Drosophila melanogaster: one gene and its partners. The gene in region 1 interacts genetically with each later gene. Each region holds a gene or a part of one and is shown in the gene's direction. Other genes may lie near its edges. The genes, in order: robo1, kra, elav and RhoGEF64C.

Region 1 (4,810 bases):
TGGAGCAGGTGCCGCAGCTCAAACAAATCAGCAGGAAAATCAACTGTTTCATCTTGGGAACTGAATGGAGGAGCAGCTATGCCCACATCATTTATAGTTCTGGAGAATGGCATCCAAATTACAGAGTGACTGACGCACAATGAACCAAGACACATATCAATCTTAATTTTACAATTGCGTGCAATGCTCTTCGATGATTATATTTTACAATAAAGGTTATTTTAAAAGTTTATGAAAACATGTTAAATTGAACCCCACTTCCAGATGCAACTACAGCTGGAGCAGATCACCTCCAGAGGTGAAGCTCGATTGGAGAAGCTGTGGCAGGAGTATCAGGGTGTTCTGGCGGGCTACTGTCAGCACATCGAAGGCTTTTACTCGGAGTACGTGGATCTGAAGCAGCGGGATGAGGAGGCAGCCCTCCAGATTAGCCAGCAGACCCACGAAATCGAGCACCTGGTAGACCAGCTGACCAATTTGCGTCTGGTCTCCGAGGAGTTCTACATCAAGCAACAGGGCCAACTGGAGCAGCGGCAAGCCATCAAACAGCAGTTGACCGAGCGACTAAGGGAGCTACGCACCTGTGTGGAACAGGAGGTGGCCAGGGATCACCAGTTGTTCAAGCTGATGTCCGTGGAGAGCTACCATGCCTTGGAATTCCTCCAGGAAACTGTGGCCAAGGGCGAGACTCTGGCACAGTTGTCTGCGGTCTGTGCCAAGATGGAAACCCAGCGGGAGCGGATGTTCCAGTTGCCGGAAATATCCAAGGAGATTATCGAGATTCGAGATATAGAGGATCAGGGTAATGGTTCCTTGACTGACCCAGCCACTGATCTTCTTAAGGTGAGTAAAAATGCCAGTAGGTAATTTCTTCATTCAACATTGGTTTAACGTACCAGGACGAGGTGGCAGTGGTACCCCAAATGGAGTCCTTCTGGCGACGCGTCAACAACGTGGCCGTGGACGTGGCCTGCCTGAAGCAACAGAAGCGTCGCCTGGAGGCGGAGAACAGCCAGCTAAAGACGCAGCTGCAGGACTACCTGGTAAATTTGAACATTGCCAATGGCTCCAATAGCCACGTCCATAGCTATCTAGCCCGGCGGCCCAAGAGCATGTCCGTGGACAGAGTGTCGCGCCTGCAGCTCCAGCCCAAGCTGGTGAAGAGTGCCCAGCCGACTGGTCGTCGCCCAGCGGCGCCCACACCTCCCACTTTCCACTTGCATCCAGGACGCAGCCGAGCGCCTGCCTTCGAAGCCAACCTCTCCAACGTGGTTCTTTCGAGGACTTTGGCTAGGGGAAAGATGAACCTGGCCAGAATGGAATAATTTGCTAGACTCTGTAGTTATTTGATTAATGCAGGGAAACTATATTAAACAAAACACCTTAAATTGGTGTAGGAACTATTCTCTACCATAACAATTATCTATATATTTTTATAGTATTTTACAGTTGGTTCTACCGTGAACATGAATATTAATATATACGTATTTAAGCAATCACACACAAATTATATAGATATTCTGAATAAAACGGAATTTTTTAATAAACCATTCAACATCACAATACATACATTAATTTAAATATTTACATTTTATTAATATCTTAAAACATAGTTGGTATATCTTTCGATTTCAATTTCAATACAATAGAAATCAATTAAAGATTCAAATAGTTACTTTACGCGGCGCTACCAGATCAACTGATAAATATGTCCTCTGGTATTTTCGAGTATTCCTTTTCGGTACACCCCAAAATATATCGATATATCGATTCCGGGCGTTGCGCTCTCAAATTTCCACAGACACGACCCACGTCCAATTGTGAGTTTTCGCTGCGCCGTGAATCGCACTAAAGAGCAGGAAAATAGTTAATTTCCAACAGTTAAATTGGAGTAAGTTTGCACCCAAGAAAGTACGATCCAACCGCGAAGCTTCCATTTGAAGTAGATACTCGTTTTCGGATATTACAAAGTGCAGCTGCTGCGGATGTAAAGCAAATATTACAAGGAGTTATAGATACAACACTCTGTTATAGATATAGATACAACAACAACGGGGGGAAGTCCCAGGAACGGCAGGCGGTGCGAGCGAGAGGCAGCTAGAACGGCAGTGTGTGCGAGTGAGAGGGGTGGCGGGGCAGTTCTTGTTCTTGTAATTTTACCAAAAAGAAATTTCGTTCGGGAAATGTGGAAAATGTGCGCGAGGAGAGATGATGGAGAAAACAACCCCGAAAAGCGAGCAATCGTCGAATAAATACCAACAAAAACTTACACTGCGCGGCTGATTAATAAAATCCAAAAAATAAAAAGGAAAATAAAAACCAAATCAGCGAACGATACAAAAAAAGCGTTAGAAAGAAAGTGTGAGAACGTGAAATCAAAACTCCGAATCAGAATTTGGATTGTAAATTTTCGGGTCGGTGCGACTGAGACTGAGCGATAAACACAAAGGCAGATAAATACGGAAATAAAATTAATGGAAAACCAGCATAGACACATGTGTGTGGGTGTGTGAGTGTCCAAGTGTGCGTGAGTGTGTGCGTGTGTGTGTGCTTATCGCATGGAAATGCAAGCGTAAGTGGAGCAGGCGAGAAATAATTTCGAGTTTTTGGACAGATAAAAAGCAAAAAGCAAGTAAAGCCCATAAATGCCTAGCCATAATGCCGCCACGCCTACATATGTAACAGCTGCCCACATTTAGTTAACCCACATACTATCACCTATCATGCATCGCAGGACCCAAAAACAACGCCAAAATGATCGCCGCTGCATTGGGTCATCTGTAGAGTCGTCATTGCAACAGCACCAACACCATAAAATGCATCCCATGCATCCCGAAAACCACGCCATCGCCCGGAGCACGAGCACCACTAATAACCCATCTCGCAGTCGGAGCAGCAGGATGTGGCTCCTGCCCGCCTGGCTGCTCCTCGTCCTGGTGGCCAGCAATGGCCTGCCAGCAGTCAGAGGTAAACCCATCCTGGGTAATCCTCCCCAGGCCCAGTGGCTAATCCACATCCTTCCTACTCCTTTCAGGCCAGTACCAATCGCCACGTATCATCGAGCATCCCACGGATCTGGTCGTTAAGAAGAATGAACCCGCCACGCTCAACTGCAAAGTGGAGGGCAAGCCGGAACCCACCATTGAGTGGTTTAAGGTACCCACCAAATAATACTTTTCTAACTTGAATCACCATTACACTGGCAAAAGAAAACTTGATCTTAATGTTTTCATATCAATATTGTATATTTATTTATCTTTAAATATCAAAACAAAAATGAATTCAAAAATTATACAAAATATAAGTGGTTTTGAGTAGTTGTTTTTTTCCGTGTAGCCTTCGAAACCGAACCAAATCGTAACTCAATCACCCCCTCTTCTTTCCGCTCTCAGGATGGCGAACCCGTCAGCACCAACGAAAAGAAATCGCACCGCGTCCAGTTCAAGGACGGCGCCCTCTTCTTCTACAGGACAATGCAGGGCAAGAAGGAACAGGACGGCGGAGAGTACTGGTGCGTGGCCAAGAACCGAGTGGGCCAGGCCGTTAGTCGCCATGCCTCGCTCCAGATAGCTGGTAAGTTAGTCCGCCACTCTAGTCTGCTCTCCAACTTGTCTGCCCACACGCCCAGCTTTGTCTCCGATTATAATGTGCTTTTTTGATATTTTTGCAATTTTTCTTCGCTAGTTTTGCGCGACGATTTTCGCGTGGAGCCCAAAGACACGCGAGTGGCCAAAGGCGAGACGGCTCTGCTGGAGTGTGGGCCGCCCAAAGGCATTCCAGAGCCAACGCTGATTTGGATAAAGGTGGGTTCCGAAAACCAGACTGCGAAAGTCAGTTGTCTAAACCGCTTTTTGTGCTCTTAGGACGGCGTTCCCTTGGACGACCTGAAAGCCATGTCGTTTGGCGCCAGCTCCCGCGTTCGAATTGTGGACGGTGGCAACCTGCTGATCAGCAATGTGGAGCCCATTGATGAGGGCAACTACAAGTGCATTGCCCAGAATCTGGTAGGCACCCGCGAGAGCAGCTATGCCAAGCTGATTGTCCAGGTCAAACCATACTTTATGAAGGAGCCCAAGGATCAGGTGATGCTCTACGGCCAGACAGCCACTTTCCACTGCTCAGTGGGCGGTGATCCGCCGCCGAAAGTGTTGTGGAAAAAGGAGGAGGGCAATATTCCGGTGTCCAGAGCGCGAATCCTTCACGACGAGAAAAGTTTAGAGATATCCAACATAACGCCCACCGATGAGGGCACCTATGTCTGCGAGGCACACAACAATGTCGGTCAGATCAGCGCTAGGGCTTCTCTTATAGTCCATGGTAAGATTAAGTTCCATTACCAAAGAATCGCGTTTTAATCTTCAATTGTTTTCATTAAAGCTCCGCCGAACTTTACGAAAAGACCCAGTAACAAGAAAGTGGGACTAAATGGTGTTGTCCAACTACCTTGCATGGCCTCCGGAAACCCACCGCCATCTGTTTTCTGGACCAAGGAAGGAGTATCCACTCTCATGTTCCCAAATAGTTCGCACGGGAGGCAGCATGTGGCTGCCGATGGAACTCTGCAGATTACGGATGTGCGGCAGGAAGACGAAGGCTACTATGTGTGTTCCGCTTTCAGTGTAGTCGATTCCTCTACAGTACGGGTTTTCCTGCAAGTCAGCTCGTTAGACGAGCGTCCACCTCCGATTATTCAAATCGGACCTGCCAATCAAACACTGCCCAAGGGATCAGTTGCTACTTTACCCTGTCGGGCCACCGGAAATCCCAGTCCCCGTATTAAGTGGTTCCACGATGGACATGCCGTACAAGC
Region 2 (7,556 bases), on another chromosome or scaffold:
AGCGTCATCAAGACATCTAGTGACTGGGAACCACTAGCTCTCCCAGCATAAGTACTGGCCACATCGTGGAGCACACTCTCATTGAAGCTGGCCACAATGGCACTACCCACTGGCACCAGCAAATTCTTGTCGCTGCTCTGAACGAAGTAATCAATGCGTCCGACTCGATTGGCGCACTCCAACTGATTAACGATTTCCTTTGCCTGCAATCCATAGGCATTATTGACCAGATGGGGAATCTGCCATTGTTTGGACAACTTGGATACTTCGGCAATGTCATCGCTGTTTCGTGGAGCAAAACAACTGGTGGTAGTGTACAGGCAGAGGATGCTATCCACTCCCAATGACTTTATCTTTTCTCGGAATAAATCTACGTTCGTGTTCAGGGACTCTCCTTTAATAAGGCAGGGGATGACTACCGGCACCAAGCCCGTTGCTGTGATGGCCTTGAAGCAGGACTTCTGATCGATGCGGGACCAGAGCACATACCGCGCCCCGGGTCGCCGCTTGCGAAGACTCTGCAGGCACAAAGTCAATGTCATGCCTGTACACATTGGCACCAAAAAGCAGCCAGCACAGCTGGGCAGTCCGATTCCCCGAATAAGGTCCAGAATCAGGGCGTTTGTGAGACGAGCGAGCAGCGTAGAGCCAGCTGCCTTGGGTTGTGCCTCTAGTAAGTCTCCAGATCTGCCGATACCATGACCGAAGTTGTAGTGACGGCGAGCCACGAGTTCTGAATGACAAATTCATTACGGGGGATATCGCCTCCTGATCCCTTACTTACTGCAGGCTATACGCGCCTCCCGCTCTCCTAAACCGACCTTATGTGGATAGTTATTGCTGTCCAAGGAAGCCAGCATGTGCACCAGCTCCTCGATACGTTCATCGGACCAACCATTTTTCGGAAGCTTTCGCTTGAAAAGAAGAATTATCCATGGAGTTATCAATTAATTTGGGTTTAATTTCGGTTTGATTACCTTTTCGAGCAGCTCCTTAAAACTGCGCTGCTTACTGCGTTGCGCAGCCAGTCCCAGTTGCAAATAGTTGTCCGGCACTAGTTTCTCTGGTATATTGACCTGCTCAAAGTTCATTTGGCTTTTGGATAATGTAAATATAAACTAAAAGTAAACAATGTCTATCGCCGCTTTCAGGTGCGCAAAAAAAAAACAGTTAAATTTTCTTACTGAGCAAGTAAGGCGGCGATGCCATATTGTTTAAATAGCTGACAAATGGACACCTTTCGATTTTGTTTAAAGTGGAGGAAAAATATATAATATATACAAAGGCGTATTTTCGAAAATAAACTCCTCGCAACGCTACTAAAATGGACTTAACTTAATTTGTTGAATTTGTTAAGGTTAAATATGAATTTTGTTAATGCAAACATGACTTTTGTGGAATCTTTGATTCCGTTAAATGTCCGGCAGCGCTGCACCATTTTCAGGTCCGGTTAGTGGGGCCAGCCAACAGCTTCACCAAAATGTTGCCACCTTTTGGACACCTTAGTGAGCTCTGTACCATTGCGTACGAAGCAGGCCACGGTCATACCGCAAGTCATCCAGAAGAAGCAGCCCAACAGCTACGCAAAAAGTTACTTTTATTCGCAGCAAAACAGATTTTTTTGTTTTAATCGTAAGTATAGGAGTGAAAAATAGCGCTAGAGTAGACCTAAGTACACAGAAAGACAAATAGGGCGAGTAAAATCGCGGTCCTGGTCATTTCTCTGGCCTTGACCAATCCTTTGTCTGCGCTTTCGTTGGAAAAGGGGTTATGTACGAACTGCGTGCGTACCTAAGGCCAGATTAGTCATCGGGCAGTCATATATTCATGCAAAAAATCATTTGGTGGCCGTCGGCCTTTGTTCGACTGTACCTTGCTCATTATTTAATAAGCGCGACAGCAATATACACACTTTGAACCCCCATCCCACATTTTTTCTCACCGTTTCCCCCTAATTTTCGTTTTCCCTGTGCCCATCATTCCGCTTTCGCCATGTCAGTGTATCGCTTCAAAATGGCGCCGAACCACATGTCTTCGTTCTCGGCTCGTCCGCTTCGTTCGTGCGCTCGTGTGTCGTCTCATTCGCTCTCCGAATTTCGTTTAACAAAGTGGTGCGAGCAGAGGGGCGCTGGATTCGAGGCAAACAACACATATACCTAGTAACCGATTGTGATAGCTGTTAAAAATAGAATTCCGGACGTAGTCTGAGCAAAATTGTTAACGTTTATTTTGAAGGCATAAAAGTAAATTCCGTTACAAAAAATTATATTTTCTATTTGCTCTCCCCTTTTCTTTGTTGTTGTGTGTGTGCGTGCGTGTCAATTTTACCGTGCAAAAGCTCGCTCATAAGAAAAGAGAGGTAAGAAAAGAAGGGATCTGCCATCTGTCTCTTTGTTTTTCGTCGACTCGAGTGAGAAGCATTAACCAGCCAGCGCTTCGTGAGGTTAAATTAAATTACATATTCTCGCACGTTCGTTAGTTGTGAAAAAGCAACAGGCACACACACACACACATACACACTACACTCGCACACGACTGATTTCAATTGATTGCAAGGACACGCGGAAGCGGCAAACACAGGGCCAGACTTAATATCCTTGGGTGAAAGCGTAAGTTGCCGTTCCTTATATGTACCAATGTGTACTTGATAGCCTAGATAATTTAATTTTTGCGTTTTCGCTGCTATGACAATTTTCCCGGCCAACTAGCACACAGTCATCGGCGCGTTTTTATGTGCACTACATGCACAATGACCTCATTTCCCCAGCGCGCTACCTAACACAAGTAACCACGTCAAAATTTCACTTTATTCTGCGTTTCTATGTCGATTTCTTGGTCGCCTCACCTCTCAATTCTTTTTATTTCTTTTGTCGACATTATCAAACTGTAAAATGCACAGTGGGTATGTGTGTGTGAAAAAGAGAGATAATTAAAAAGAGATGTGAAGTGTGCCCGTTCTCCGCTCTTGAATGTGTGTGTTTAAAGCACATGTACGCTGGCATTTTTAGGTTAAGGCTTTCTTAGGCTCAGTTTTCACTAGAGTTTCCACTTAAACGCCGGTCATAGGTGAAAATGTTGTAGTTTGATTATGAGCGCAACGAGAATACATATACAGGGAACGGTTTTCCACCGCTTGGAGACCACCTTAGTCATCTTACACTAAAATTAAGATAAATCTAAAAATGAATCTAGTGGCCATGATAATTTAGTCTGGTCAGAAATAAAAACTTACAGGGGCAAACCAAAACCGCTTCCATCTCTGATCCACATTTACCTTTGCAGCAATTTATTGTATGAGTCAAAAAACTGAAAGACCAGTGCTATCGGGTCAACGCATCAAGACCAGAAAAAGAGATGAAAGAGAAAAATATGACCCAACGGGATTCCGTGATGCGGTCATTGCTGGTCTCGAAAAAACTGAAGGCGACCTGGAACAAATCTCTAAATATCTAGACAGCGCGGGCAACAAGCTCGACTATCGTCGCTACGGTGAAGTTCTCTTTGACATATTGATTGCAGGAGGTCTACTAGGTAAGTTTTCCGCTGCAAGTAATGTGTTTAGTCTCTTCACTGACCCTTTTCCATCCTCGTTTCAATTGCAGTGCCTGGTGGTTCTATATCTCAGGATGGCGAAAAGCCGCGCACAAGCTACTGCATCTTCGATGCGCCCGAGAGCATGGAGAGCATGCGCAACCATGAGCAGGTTTGTAATCTTTTAGCAGGTCATACTTAAATTATGATTATGAGTAAACGAAAATTGGTTTGATTGCAACACAAGTTGAGCTCTTGTTGTTTTCCAAGCTAAAACGTTTATTTACTACTAAATGATTTTCTTCGGATCCACTTAAAAGTATGAAATTCGTGAAGTGGCTGCATATCATTAGAGCTGACTATAAAGTTTCAAAAATGTAATCGGTGTCAAGAATATGCAATAACAATCAACACATTTACTTGTCTTTGGTTTGTCCTAAACACTAACGTTCTGAAGATTTCTTATGTGTCAACAACTACTCTTTATTCAACACTATATATATATACTATATGCATGCAACCACTGCGAAGGTCACGCTATTGAATCAAAGTGCATATTATTAGAACCGGTTATGCATCTCAACAACTCAATCGGTGTCAAAATATGCAAAATAAAAAGCCACATTTTACTTGTCTTTATTTTGTAAAATTACTACCGCCAGCAATCTAAAGATTTCTAATGTTGCAACAACAAATACAAAAGCCTCCTGCGTGAGAACACAGTAAAATTTCACCATCCGCTAACAGGGGCAATCACACTTTACCTTTTCCAGGTATTTGTCAAGCTCATCAGACGGTACAAGTACCTTGAGAAAATGTTCGAAGAGGAGATGGGAAAGGTTCTATTATTCGTAAAGGGCTTTACTCCTAGTGAACGCATCAAGCTTGCGCGTATGACAGCGCTCTGGTTAGGTAAGTCTTAACATTTATGTTCCTGTTCCTCCTGTGCATTGCTTGCGTCTGCCCATTCGGTCTTTCAATTAGTTGTTTCGATAAACACTTGTTCAACTTGCAGCTGAGGGGCTAAAGTAATCCTTCACTTGGTATACTGACTCTTGGATGAACTAACCACATCTAAGGGCCACGAGCCCAAGGACAGGATTGCTAGCCGGCCGTCTAAACTTGTTTTGCGAAAACATTTGACTAACCCTATATTTAACCCTATTTTTGATCAACAGTCAACGGTTCTGTACCGCCAAATGTTTTACTGGTACTAAACAACGAGCACCTAATCAAGGATGGCATTGCATTGGAGTTTCTACTAGAGCTGTTCCAGACGTTCAAGCAAGAGAAGGGCATTGCATATCTGATTCAGGCGCTTAAGAAGGGTGGACTGGAAAGCAAGTAAGTTTTTAGTTGTGATTTGTTTTTAGCCCCGGAATGTTCTCAGGAAGATGACTCAATGATCCAGTTGTGCATCTTTAATTGATATTCCTAGAGTAAGAAAGTTCGACGGAGTTTTACCCAATTCGCAAATGACCTTTCGCTTCATTTGGGTGCTGATTTAATTTCGTACACCTCAATACGTCATTTAAGGTTGATTATTGAATGCGTTAACTTAAATTATTAATAATGGTTCCACTTTTTCACGTTTTTCCAGACTTATGGACTTTTTCCCACCGAACAAACGTACTGAGGAATATTTTAAACAAGTTTTTCTTGACAAAGAACTTAACGAGATCGTCAAGCTACATAAGGCTCAGGCTAGCCAGGAGGCGAAGCGTGAGTTGCAGCAGGCGCTCATCGATGATATCAACGATGAGAAGCCATATAATGAGATAACCTCAGACATTAAGGACTTCTCGCAGCGCACCAACATTCCCGATCATGAAATAATTGTTATTGTAAGTCGATGCGTAAATAATCCAACTGGATGATTTCCTTACTAAATCTCATGTATGATCTTTACCAGATTTGGTCCACCATCATGTCATTGGGCGAATGGAACAAGAAGGAGGAGCTGGTTACCGATCAGGCTGTTCGTCATCTGAAGAACTACTGCCCACTGTTGCAGGCTTTCGCCTCGACCGACCGTTCGGAATTGGCCCTAATCTTGAAGGTGCAGGAATTCTGCTACGAGAACATGAACTTCATGAAGGCCTTCCAGAAAATCATTTTGTTGTTCTACAAGACCGAGGTCCTGTCCGAGGAGATCATCTTGCGCTGGTACAAGGAGGGCCACTCAAACAAGGGCAAAATGCATTTCCTTGAACAAATGCGAAAGTTTGTCGAATGGCTTCAGTCAGCCGAAGAAGGTTAGTATGTTTTGATAAATGTTATCAGCGTGCAATTTTTGAGAATGGTCTTGTCTTAAATAGCTTGATTCTGGTACGTAATTGCAAGAGAAATTTGGGTTTTTTGCTTGCCTCGTTGATTTCCATTCACTGAACAACGTAGGCCAATGAAAACCTGGACAATATAAATATTCAAATTTTGCTTCCTTCGAAACTTTACACAGTGCACTTTTTGAGAATGGTCTTGTCCTGGATGACATTTTCATTGTACAAAATTGCAAGAGCATTTGAGTTTTTGCTTGCCTTGTTGCCTCACAAAATCCGAGCATCAAAGGCCAATGAAAACTTGGACACAAATAGCTGACTTCACCGAGCATGCTTCTTACCAAGCTTTTAAAGTGTTCCCATTATTAGGAACCAGTTTTAAAGGGTTCATGTACAGTATGCAAAAGCGAAAGAATGATTGGGTGCCCATATAACCCAATGCCGTGGTTAATTTGGCCAATAATCGTTTGGACAGCTGCATTTGTCCTAGTCCGCATGCACAATCCCCTCATAAAAGCTCCGAATGGTTGCTTCATTCGATTGAGCCAAGCGGGGAGTTGTGCCAAAGCATTTGAATGGTTGGGTGTCCAGATAACTTTCCATAGTTAAATTTGGCCAATAATCATTTGGACAGCATAACCGGAGCTGCACATCTTTTCAGTTTGTACCAATTGAAGCCCCCATACTAACATTTTGTATTCTATTCTCTTTCAGAATCCGAATCTGAGGACGAACAAAAGAATGGCGAGTAAGAACTTGGTTGATGGCTAAATGAGGATGAACACAAACGGAGCCGCCCTTTAGCATCCCCATCCAAAAATTCGAAACCAGCACCTGCAACAGCCAGTCGAACTATATATAAAACTCACCCCTATGAATTAATGTCATTTTGAAAACTCCACCTATATAAAACTCAAAAATTCCAACAAATAAAGGAGAGAGTAAAAAAAACATGCTAGAAACTAAACGTTTGCAGTCCAGTCTGATATCATTCACGAATCTACACTTAGTTCCCGTTTGCAATATACCGGCAAACCCATACTATATATGTTAATAAAAGTTTGAAGTGGAAACAGCAGCACGCTCCAAATTAATAGAGAACATCTGACCGCCAATAACGTCGACTACTACGACCTGCAGTGAGGTAGCTGGAGTTCCGCGGAGTTGATGCAACAAATAAAAAACCAAAAGAGATACCACAGAGATGCTTTGTGTGAATTCGGGGATGTGTTCCGTTTGCATGTTCGCATTATTCATCAATAAATTTTCCTCATATATGCGTTTAACAAGTAGTACTCACTCTCGAAGGATTTGCCACGGCGATGAAAGGAAATTAACAAGTTATATTTGAAAGATCAATATCATTTAGCAAAGTTTCGTCGAACAAAATCTATGGATTTACGAAATATAAGATACATGGACTTAGCACATGTATACGTATAAAACCATTAAACAACCCAAAGTATTTAACTGAAACGCTGAGAAAGCATTGTATTTAAATTTGATTGGCATATAGGGGCATATTTTTGTTTAACAAATTTAGTTGGCATTATGAGGGGTCTAACTTCAAATCAGTTTTTTAAGGTCTTAAAAAGATGTGGTCCGATTCTATATTTAAAAGTTTGACAAAAAACCAAATCCGAATGCTGGATCCCCATTTCTGCAACTTCGAATATTTTGTACGTTTATTGTTACAGACATGGCCAAATCTAGTCGTCATTCATTTGTGACAAATATTACAAGTTT
Region 3 (4,927 bases), on another chromosome or scaffold:
TCCCGCTTTGTTGTAACGCAGGCCATTTGCTGTTTTTGTTTTGTTTCTGGCGTGGCTAAAACGGATTATGTGACCCAACCCTTTCGATTTCGAGTCTCATTGTATTACATCCTTTTCCCAAAAATGACTAAAAAAGCGTATTGCCTATTTCTGGGGTGGACAGAATGAAACGGGGTCAGCACGTGGCCGCAAACTTGAAATACCATTATGGATCCAATAGGACTGTGAAGAGTTATTAGTGAAACATTTCGAACAAACTATTCCTTTAATTGAAATTTGCCAATTCCCCACTTAAGCATCGCATTTGCATATTTGTATGCTAACCAAACTCTCTGCGACGTCGATCTGTCTGAATCTGAATCCGCATATCTTTCGAGGGCAGCAATAGCGCCACCCCACCCCATTTCCGTTGCCACTAGCAGCGCACCACCCTTTGAAAGGACATCAAAAACCACCCCCTGCCCAAAGTTGCGTTACAATTCCCGAAGTGCAGTGCAGCGTACATAAAACATACAATGAAATCCGATAAAATTTTCTATGTCCTTTATATCCTCATAACATGCCCAACTATAAACCGAGCCAAATTCTTCTCGTGAAAAAGTTGCACACAACGCGATTTCACTGTACCTTACATTGTTCTGTAAACTGGAACAGAGCGTCCGACTGGAAGAGGCGAAGGAAAAAATCAGCACAGGGAACAGGAAGTTCACAAGGATTGGGGGTGTCCGAGGGTGGCTACATATATATGGCGATATATGGCATACAGTATGTGCATACATATACATACATATACACATATATGTATGTATGTACCATACTATGTGGCGTGTCTAGTGGCGCGAATAACGAATACAGGAGCAATGAAGCACACGAACGAAGCGAAACGAAACGAAGGGAAATATTGAAAAAGCCAGAATTGCATTACTTCAAAACTATACCGGCTCTTGGATATGGGTCCTGGGTCTCGGTTCCTTGCTTCTGGCTTTCGCTTCGTAGGGGGTGTACGAGCAATACTGCCAGGAGAAACCACCCTAGCCTTTGGCGTTGGTGGTTGATAGTGCAAAAATAATAATAACGGAAACGGAACCATAAACCCAAAACAGCCCTTACAACGCGACTGATTTGTAAGGATAATGGTCGCATGCATCATAAAACGGTTGACGACCTCGTCGGAAAGAGCCAACATTTTGCAATGATTTCCAATTGCTCCTGCTATCTAGGCCCAATGGGCCGCTAAGTACATATGAAGCATACATAGCTAAATACATATGAAGCATACATACATCGGGTTAACTATAAAACCAATGTGTTCTAGATGAGTTTGTTAATTTTACAAAGTAAGTTAGGGCTGCTCCAGTGGTTTTAAGTTGCTTAACTGGACAAGAGAACTTGGCTCTCTCCCCCATCTATCTCTTGTCTTCGGGAAAGGTAACCTCCATTTTGATCGGTTGAATTTGTATCAAAAAGCATGAAAAACTTTGAATACAGCATAAACCACTGAGAGAGCAGCCGAAAGCCAGGGGTGTATCAAAAGGGGTTCTTAGAAATATTCCACTTTGCAACGATTATAGACTCGTTTCTTATCAGACAAAACTTTCTCCACTTCTACGTGGTATTTACAGAAACAAAACTTAAGGTAAAATGTTAGGTGGCTATATATTAAAGCTATTAAAATATATTAAAGGTTTCCGGAATAACCCCCTATCTCGGCGCGCAGATACGCCCATGTCGCCACTCTTTCGCTCTCTACCTTCCACTCTCGCTCCGAACACCATTGCAACCCCGAGAGAGCTGCTCGAGAGGCAACTATGAGATATGAGAATGAGAGGTTGCTCTATGTGAAAATGGAAACCGAAACCGTCAATGCCTCAATTTCGCATTTCATTATTTCATTTCCACGCCAACCATCGTGCGCCGCGGTCTGAACGCTCCTGCCACAGAAAAAGAAAATAAAAGCAAGGAAAATTCTAATCGAATACCAAATATCGTGCTTGTGTGCTCTTTCCGCAATTGATTTTTTTTAAGTAGTGCATGACAATAACCGTTGAGTTGACTCCAACCGAAGTAACCATAACTGGAAGCTGACAACAGCCATTGGCCGGAATCTCATCTCACACCGAGCGAAATGTAAGAGTATCCCCAGGATATCCACAATTTGTGCAACTGAATGAAAGGCAATGATAACAATATCAATCAACAACTTTGAAACAGTACTTTTTTTTTGCTAATGATCGCGTCGCGCTGCATAATTGTGCAATTTACTCACTTATAATCCGCGTGTCTGCATATATCCATATGTACCTATATCTATTTTTTTGCTAGTGGGTGTGTGATGTGTGTAAGTTGTATACATTCAAACGAATATTAATAGGCAAAACAACAATATGCAATTCGATGGAGGAAAAAGCGAACCTCCCAAAGAGAGTGGCGGAGAGATGGGCGGCGGTTAGTCAGAGTGAGAGGGGGCGGCCAGTGCGGAGATAGTAGATGTGTTCAGATCTACGCCTCTGTGAGCTGTGTATCTGTAAATACTTGCTGCTCAAATTTAAATCTGTGTGTGTATGTGTGTGTGGGCTTGCGTGTGCGGGAGAGAAGAGCGCTGAGTGTTAGAGCGAGAGCCAGTTCCGAAGAGGGCGCAGCTAGCATATCGATTTTATGATTTCATGTGCAAGGAGCATTGTACGCAACAACAAACGGAGGAACACGACCAACTAACCGTTAGAAGTAGCCATTTTTTGAGCGCAGCGGAGAGGGTGGGCGAGTGTGTGTGGGTGGCGGAGTACTTGCAGTCAACAAAACGCCGGTTGCCATAAAAGCAAATGCACGCAGGCATGAATCAGACCCATGTCGTAGTAGCAATATTAAACATAGAGGATTCGCGATTCACAGCAAAGGAGTTTTTTCTCAAAAAACGACAACAATTAGTTTTTTTTTTCCCAGTGGTCGTCTGTGTTTATGCTTGTGTGGAAGAGAGCTCGAAATAGGTAGATATATACACGCGTATTTATTTATTATGTGTACATATGTGCTTGTAAAAACAATATCAGCCATACAAAGTTTGAGTCCCCTCCGCCCACCTCCTAACAACAACATCGATATCTAAATCGGTGCAGGTAAAGAGCGGTTGCTACAGGCCCAAATAACCTCTCTTCAGTAGAATTTTACCAACATCTCAAAGTATTCTCGCTGCGCCACATGTATGCGTATCTGCACGCAGATATATTTTTTGTATCGCCTGTGAAATATGAATTCAATGCTTTGGATGGGGTAAAATCGATAATATCGATTGGCGATAACAATCGCACGCACACACACAGGCCCGCAAACACGAACAACTAAAACTACAACAACAACCACCAAACCCATCGAATTTACCGCTTATAGTTTTGTTTTATTTTTGTTTTTGTCCACATCAGACGGCGACGCCAGCGTTTATTTATTAAAAACGATTACATTACAACAAACACCAAAGTCCTGGACAACCGAAGAGAGTGTGGGAGAAAATCGAAGCAGAGAGCAAGGAGGAGCGCCGTGAGAGCGCGCGCGCAAGGATTTGAGATTGCAAAGAGAACTTAGCAATTAGTTCGCTTTGTTTGTCCAGCCAAACAACAACAACAACCAACCAGCTCCCCAAAACCAACTACACACATACTCGCTCCCTAAACTAAAACAAGTGAGTATTGAAAGACGACGGGCCGAGCTGACGAGATCGCAGGACGAAAGAGAGAAAACTTTCGAAGGGTGCGGTGTCGTGTCAAGGCAACACAATCAAACCACTAATGCGGAATATTAAAAAAAAAAATTAATTTAAATCATAAGAGGTTAGCTATATTTGATATATATATGTGTGTATCCATGTACATATGTCTATGTTAGACAAGTAGCTCCTTCTTGCCGTATTGTAGTTCGGGTTATCGTTACCCGCCTCTAATTGGCTTGCCATGACGAAAGTGGGTGGTACAGGACGACGACGTGCGTGCGCGTGACCTTTTGACTCTTCCATAAGCGCCTCAATAAAAGGTGCGAGTCGGTACATACATATGTATGAGAATAGAGGATATTAAAAACTAAGAAAAGCATCCACCAAAGTAAAAACAGTAGCAACTAAAAACTTTTCAGTCTCAGCTAACCAGTCCAAACCAGCTATGTAGTTTTTAGCACGACTTTGGGAGTGTCGAATGCGTTAACTAAAGCTCAAATATATATCGAGACCCGCTGTAGTCCCTATATGCAAATCAAATTGCTACCATTTCCGCAGCGATCGCTTTTCGCGACAGCCCCCTCTCTCTGTCGCACTTAGTTCAGTGAACCAACACATTCGCTGGTTTCGTTCCGAGCAGCATCCTCTGTCTCTCTTGCTCAGCCTCTTCGCCGCCCCCTCTGCCTAAGCCTCTGTTTCTGCTGTCCGCACCCCTTACCAAGGTGTCATGTAAATGGCGGAGCCGGCTTAGGGGGTGGCAATGCCGTGCTTTTAACCCTTATCGGTGGCAAATGGCGCTCGTACATTTGGAGAAAATGCCGTTCTACGTTTCGTTTTGCTTCGTTTCGCCAAGCGAAGTATTACAACTTGTTTGACTAAGGGTGGGTCTACCGTCTATTGCTCATTTATGGTGTTTTGATGCTTTCTCAAGGGGTGCGGGCTGGTTTCTCGCATGTCCTGACCCTCTGGGTCATCCCTCTGTTCACCGCATTACATAACTGGGCGGGGTGCACAGCGCGACACACTCTTATGGAGAGAGCGCTGTAATTTGCGGAAAGGAGACGAGGGGGAGAAGGGACGCAAGAGCAGCTACAGCGCGCAGCAGTGCCAGAAAGTCCTGCGCTCGCCCCAGAAGCATCCTGTTCCTGTGACGCAGCGGATCTGGTCTCGCGTTCGCTCCACTACCTCCACTTCCTACACCTACAGTACACATATCACATGAACTTA
Region 4 (4,734 bases), on another chromosome or scaffold:
ACATCAAAAACAACACGAAGCTTTGATTGTTGCAATCACTCTTAGTACTCGAATATCAATAGTGTTATCGAGGAACATTTGGCAAATTAAGATAAACATACTCAGAATTCCCTAAAACTTGAGGCGTACTTGTGCTAACTTGGCTAACGATGCAAATGTTGTTATCAAGCAGTTTACAACATAAATACTCTAATTATTTATGTGCATAAGTAAAAGTGGGGCAACAGTCTGCAGCAAATGCAACAGCAACAATAACAATGGCACAATGCAATCAAACAATCAGAGACAAGCTCGCTGAACTGAAATGCCAATTGTGAAAATTGTAAATAAATATTTTAACAGACGACGGCAACAACAAGAAGTCGGGAAACTACAATAAATCAGATCATATCGGCGGCCAACTGCTGCGGTTTCAGTTGTGGTAAATATATATATATAGACATATATAGCTATATATGGCAGATCCAGCAGCAGAGCAGCCCTACAAGCGTGGAAGGCATGGGGCAGGAAAAACTGTGAAAAGCTGAAAGAAAAATCGCAAAAAGCAAACGACACAGCGACAACGATGACAATGCTGATAATGGCCCAAGGAGAAGGTGCGGAGGAGCGGCAGCATTATGGTATCCAAAAGAATAGCCTGGAAACCTCAGAAATTTACGCTCAAGCGAAGCGAGCTGAACCAAACTAAGTTGAGGTGAAGCTGTTGCTAAAAGGAAAATGACAATAACAGCTGCAGTTCCAGCGCCCTGTGTGAGAGCCCAGTAATGACAAAAAACTAACTAGCACACTGAAAAAAATGGATAACTTAGCCATAAAGTTCTCGGACATAAAAAATTATTGGGAGCTGGTTGATGAATAAGTACATTTTATTATCTGTGCATATTGATTTACAGCCTTTTCCAATATACGAAAAAACAAACAACAATGTATTTGTGATTTTGTGAAATATGTTTATTATTATTTTGTTTATTATATAAATTAGAAATTATACAGTTTTCTTAATCTTTATGTATTAAAAATGATTGCCTTAATTATCACTTAGGCTCACGTTAAAATATTCTATCAGTGTAAAAAAAAGCGAGGCATTAAGTACCGAACCGTTAAGAAGTCATTCGAAGTTGGATAGACCAAAAAAAGCTGAGGCGTCTCTAAGCCGCCCTGCGAGTGAGCGAGACCGCAGTAGGTGGTAATTTCTGGAGTAAACAGAGCGAATTCAGAGCTAAGTCCGAAAACAAAACTTCGAGTGAGAGCAGTGAGAGCTGCAATCGTAATTGCGCTGGGCTAGAGAGTAAAAGTCTTTGAGCAAACGAGAGCGTCGAGTAGCGAAAGTTAAAGCCGAATCGTAGAGCAGAGATCAAAAGATCTGTCAGATCTAAATAACAGAAAGAACATCCGAAAACCCAAATCTTTCGGGGAAGTGTGTCATCAAAAAATCGATAATAAAATAATTTTGTGCTTTTCTTACTCTCTCGTTTCCTCATAAGTTCAATGCACAATGAAAAAACAGTTATTTTTGGACAATAAATCAACGGCAACAACAGACTAAAGATTCTAAGCACAAATAAAAAAAAACAACGGCCAGAGTCGAAAGACTCAGGCAACGAACTGCGATCATCGGAGATGAAAATAGAGAGAGAGAGAGAGAGCGCGCGCGATCTGCTTCGTTTTTGCTTTTCGAACTCAGAGCGGCGGACTTTTCGAACTCCAAGCTGTCCGGCAGCTGAAACTTTTGGTCATTCGTCAGTTAACCGTCGTGCAGCTCGAAACGCGACGCGATCTGTTGGATATATGCAATCCAACGGTGATATATAAACACGATTCTTCTTCGCCGAAGAACGAACGTTTTGTGTGTGTTTGTGCAGGTGTTAGTGCGCGGTGTGCGTGTTACCATTTGCATTTTGGCTTTTTAGCTTTTAACTCGCTTTTTTCGTTCCATTTCGCCGCGTTGCATTTGCTCGGCGATTGCATTTCTCGGTTTCTTCGCTTTTGGATCGGCTTTCGTTATTTTTGGTTGAGGCCTTAAAATAGCCTTTGCCGTAATTACTGGGCTGGCCGCAAGAAAACGTGTTTGTGTCTAAACTACAGTTACAACCAGAGCAGCCGTCGCAGCTGCATTTCACTCGAATGTGCTTGCCGAAAAGTAGAAAATATAATAAATAAGAAAGAAAGAAGAGAGTGCTCGCTATATAGAAGGAAAAACGTCACTCGGTGTATACGTTCTTCTTCTATTTGTTCGCCTGTTAACATTGTGCTCATAATTTATTGTACCCAGCGATATGCAAATAGAAAGCAACAAATTTGTACAGCAAGTGGAATATTTCAACGTTTAATTTGGGCCCCGAAGAAACCCAAAAAGGTAAGGCAAATGCATTCTAATAAACGAGAAAATAATATAATGCCAACAAACTATAGATATTATCCCCCCCAATGAGCATAAAGCTAATGAGGTAAATTGTGAAAACATCTGAACTGCTTAGAACTTGATTTGGTTAATATATTCATTAGTATACATTTCTCCCGCTGACGATTTGCATATCAGTTGTCTTCGGTCGCAGGTTCATAACTTCTGCTTCTGTTTTGGCTGGCTAAGAAAGCTTCGGTTAGATCATCGCATCTCACGTTTTTCACCGCCGAATAGATCGATATTCCTGCCTCACTGCGAACCCCTAAATAACACTTGCTGCACGATTGAACTTTAAACCGCATTCTTGGCCCGTCTGCTGCCTGGTTTTCTGTTTTTCTTGGCTCTCTCGGTCGGACGCATCTATCACAGATCGGTGAGTGGTGGCCAATTTTCAATGGATCGATGCTGCCTCGCTCCGTGGGAACTCTTGACTCTTGAGCCCCAGAGTTCGGGCCTGGCATTTTGCGGCACACATTTTAGCCCTGGCTAGCTAGCAAAAACAGAGCCAAAAACAGGCTTACAGAACAGGAATTTCCACTCCTACAACAAATCCGCGGACAATTGACATTTTTGTGTAATTGCCACATTTGTTGTTGTAATTTTGGTTTTTTTTTTCGAATTTTCGCAGATTATTGCCTTTTAATAGTGAATTCGTCGGGCTTAGTTCAAATTTAGCAATTTACATATTTAAATGCATTGTTAATAGCCATTGGAAAACATATTAAGTAAATAATAAAACATTTGGCATTTTGCTTTTATATATTTATTTATTGAATAATTTTCTTAAGAAATCTTCATGTTCAATGATTTTTAATCGTCAACAATTAAGGAAACTAGTAAATTTAAAATTGCAATAGATTAAGTTAAACTTAAACGAAGATCTCCGGTCCGAAGATGTCCATCTTGGAGAACTCTCCTGTGGAGGATCGAGGTTTCGGTGGAGTGCATGGCGCCTTGACACTCACAACGGGGGCGGATGTGTTGGCACTAGCATCGACTTTGTTGACGGAGGAGGAGCGTTTGCGTCGCATGTTCTTGAGCTGATCGCGCAGCTGCTCCTTGTAGACGAGCTCCCTCTTGCAGGCCCTCAGATCCTCCATGCTGCAGTGCTTCATGTGGCGGATGGTGCGGGACACCAGTCCATCGATTATGTGAATCTTGGTGCGGGACAGCCGCGTGGGTTCCGCATGACGGCGGGTCAGCTCGCTCTGGTACTGAAAAAGTAGATAGCCCACGCTCGGACGAGCTCCGCGTCGGTGGTTGGCGTTGTTACGTTGGGCTTCCATTTCAGATAGAATAGCTCCTTTGTTGTTTTTTTTTGTATAGACTTCAAAATGCTGGCTGCGACAGGACAAGCTGTGACTGCTTGGCAGCTTGAGCTGTGAATGATGTCCCTACGTGGTTTACCAGGATTATTTATATCTGGGGCGCTTAGCTACCTGTTGACCCGCCGACTGACCTGCTGACTTGTACGAGTCGCGTAATTACCTGAAGTGCTCCGGTAAAACCAGAGATCCTTCCTCCCTTTTTTGATCCCTTGCCAAGTTGACATCTCAGGCCAAAGATACTGTACATCTTCCTTGCACACATGTGGGTAGTGCTCACCTTGCGCGGCATTTGCTGGGGTGGAAATGGTTTATGGCTTGACCTTTTGCTTTAAGATATTTCAGTTGAGCTGGCGCTGAATAAATATGGGGATAAGGAAAAGATTAAAACGGTGACTAAGTGTCTGAGGATTGCGTTCAAATCGTTTTAAGCTTAGATTAGATAACTGGTGGAAAAGTTATCAATGAAATAAATAAAATTTAAGGTAGCAGAAATGCAGCTGAATGAAATTTAAGTAAAAACCCACAAAAATATTTAAAATTAAAATATTTATGTTAAAGTGGTTATGAAGTTTAAAGATATTTTCATATGTTGTTTCATTAACAATTAAATGAAATATATCATTTTGATTTTTTAATTCATTTACGAATAATAAATTGTAAAAAATTAATTTACTCTATGAAATGTAATAACTTTTCTGAAGTCACATGCTTGTTTTTATTGCTTAAGGATTACGCTCAAATTGTACGAAAGTTTGCCTTTTAAGTCCAATCCCACTGCAACTAAATAAATTCCCTCTCAACTCTCGGCAAATGAAAATCATTTATATTTAATGAGTTGCCATGAAGTGATAAATATAATCCCAAAGTGGCACTCGTCTACTCTTACTCCTGTTTTTTTTTTGTGCCCGACAACCAACCCACTTGTGAAGGACTGCGTGTTAAATATTTATTTATGAACGAATGTCTGCGACCTTGTCTTAACCCCCTTGGTCATAAAAGCGA

Evidence for each region.
Region 2: of robo1 (region 1) and kra, changing one enhances a phenotype caused by changing the other (phenotypic enhancement), as found in Drosophila melanogaster (one study listed by BioGRID).
Region 3: of robo1 (region 1) and elav, changing one suppresses a phenotype caused by changing the other (phenotypic suppression), as found in Drosophila melanogaster (one study listed by BioGRID).
Region 4: of robo1 (region 1) and RhoGEF64C, changing one suppresses a phenotype caused by changing the other (phenotypic suppression), as found in Drosophila melanogaster (one study listed by BioGRID).

What each region holds. Positions count from the first base shown.
Region 1 is NT_033778.4:22,697,959-22,702,768, reverse strand, and holds the start of robo1 (roundabout 1), read left to right. Parts: upstream 1-1,798; 5' UTR 1,799-1,891; intron 1,892-2,173; exon of another isoform or gene 2,174-2,572; intron 2,573-2,734; 5' UTR 2,735-2,816; coding exon 2,817-2,967; intron 2,968-3,034; coding exon 3,035-3,156; intron 3,157-3,392; coding exon 3,393-3,573; intron 3,574-3,684; coding exon 3,685-3,803; intron 3,804-3,863; coding exon 3,864-4,317; intron 4,318-4,377; coding exon 4,378-4,810. Other genes in the region: Obp59a (Odorant-binding protein 59a), read right to left, coding at 1-52; CG30259 (uncharacterized protein), read left to right, coding at 265-843, 900-1,325.
Region 2 is NT_033777.3:5,595,091-5,602,646, reverse strand, and holds kra (krasavietz), read left to right. Parts: upstream 1-1,510; 5' UTR 1,511-1,632; intron 1,633-2,075; exon of another isoform or gene 2,076-2,609; intron 2,610-3,073; exon of another isoform or gene 3,074-3,282; 5' UTR 3,283-3,293; coding exon 3,294-3,531; intron 3,532-3,602; coding exon 3,603-3,703; intron 3,704-3,869; exon of another isoform or gene 3,870-4,009; intron 4,010-4,080; exon of another isoform or gene 4,081-4,224; intron 4,225-4,304; coding exon 4,305-4,443; intron 4,444-4,489; exon of another isoform or gene 4,490-4,632; intron 4,633-4,709; coding exon 4,710-4,875; intron 4,876-4,907; exon of another isoform or gene 4,908-5,051; intron 5,052-5,131; coding exon 5,132-5,375; intron 5,376-5,443; coding exon 5,444-5,786; intron 5,787-5,815; exon of another isoform or gene 5,816-5,950; intron 5,951-5,988; exon of another isoform or gene 5,989-6,121; intron 6,122-6,137; exon of another isoform or gene 6,138-6,287; intron 6,288-6,306; exon of another isoform or gene 6,307-6,446; intron 6,447-6,524; coding exon 6,525-6,562; 3' UTR 6,563-7,283; downstream 7,284-7,556. Other genes in the region: SecS (Sec synthetase), read right to left, coding at 1-733, 785-914, 978-1,091. UniProt on the Drosophila melanogaster protein: May be involved in memory formation.
Region 3 is NC_004354.4:520,186-525,112, reverse strand, and holds the start of elav (embryonic lethal abnormal vision), read left to right. Parts: upstream 1-1,886; 5' UTR 1,887-2,127; intron 2,128-3,416; 5' UTR 3,417-3,672; coding exon 3,673-3,673; intron 3,674-4,827; exon of another isoform or gene 4,828-4,927. UniProt on the Drosophila melanogaster protein: Required for the proper development and maintenance of neurons presumably by affecting RNA metabolism.
Region 4 is NT_037436.4:4,691,050-4,695,783, forward strand, and holds the start of RhoGEF64C (Rho guanine nucleotide exchange factor at 64C), read left to right. Parts: upstream 1-1,733; 5' UTR 1,734-2,356; intron 2,357-3,155; exon of another isoform or gene 3,156-3,273; coding exon of another isoform or gene 3,274-3,690; exon of another isoform or gene 3,691-3,796; intron 3,797-4,734. Other genes in the region: CG15876 (uncharacterized protein), read right to left, coding at 3,274-3,690.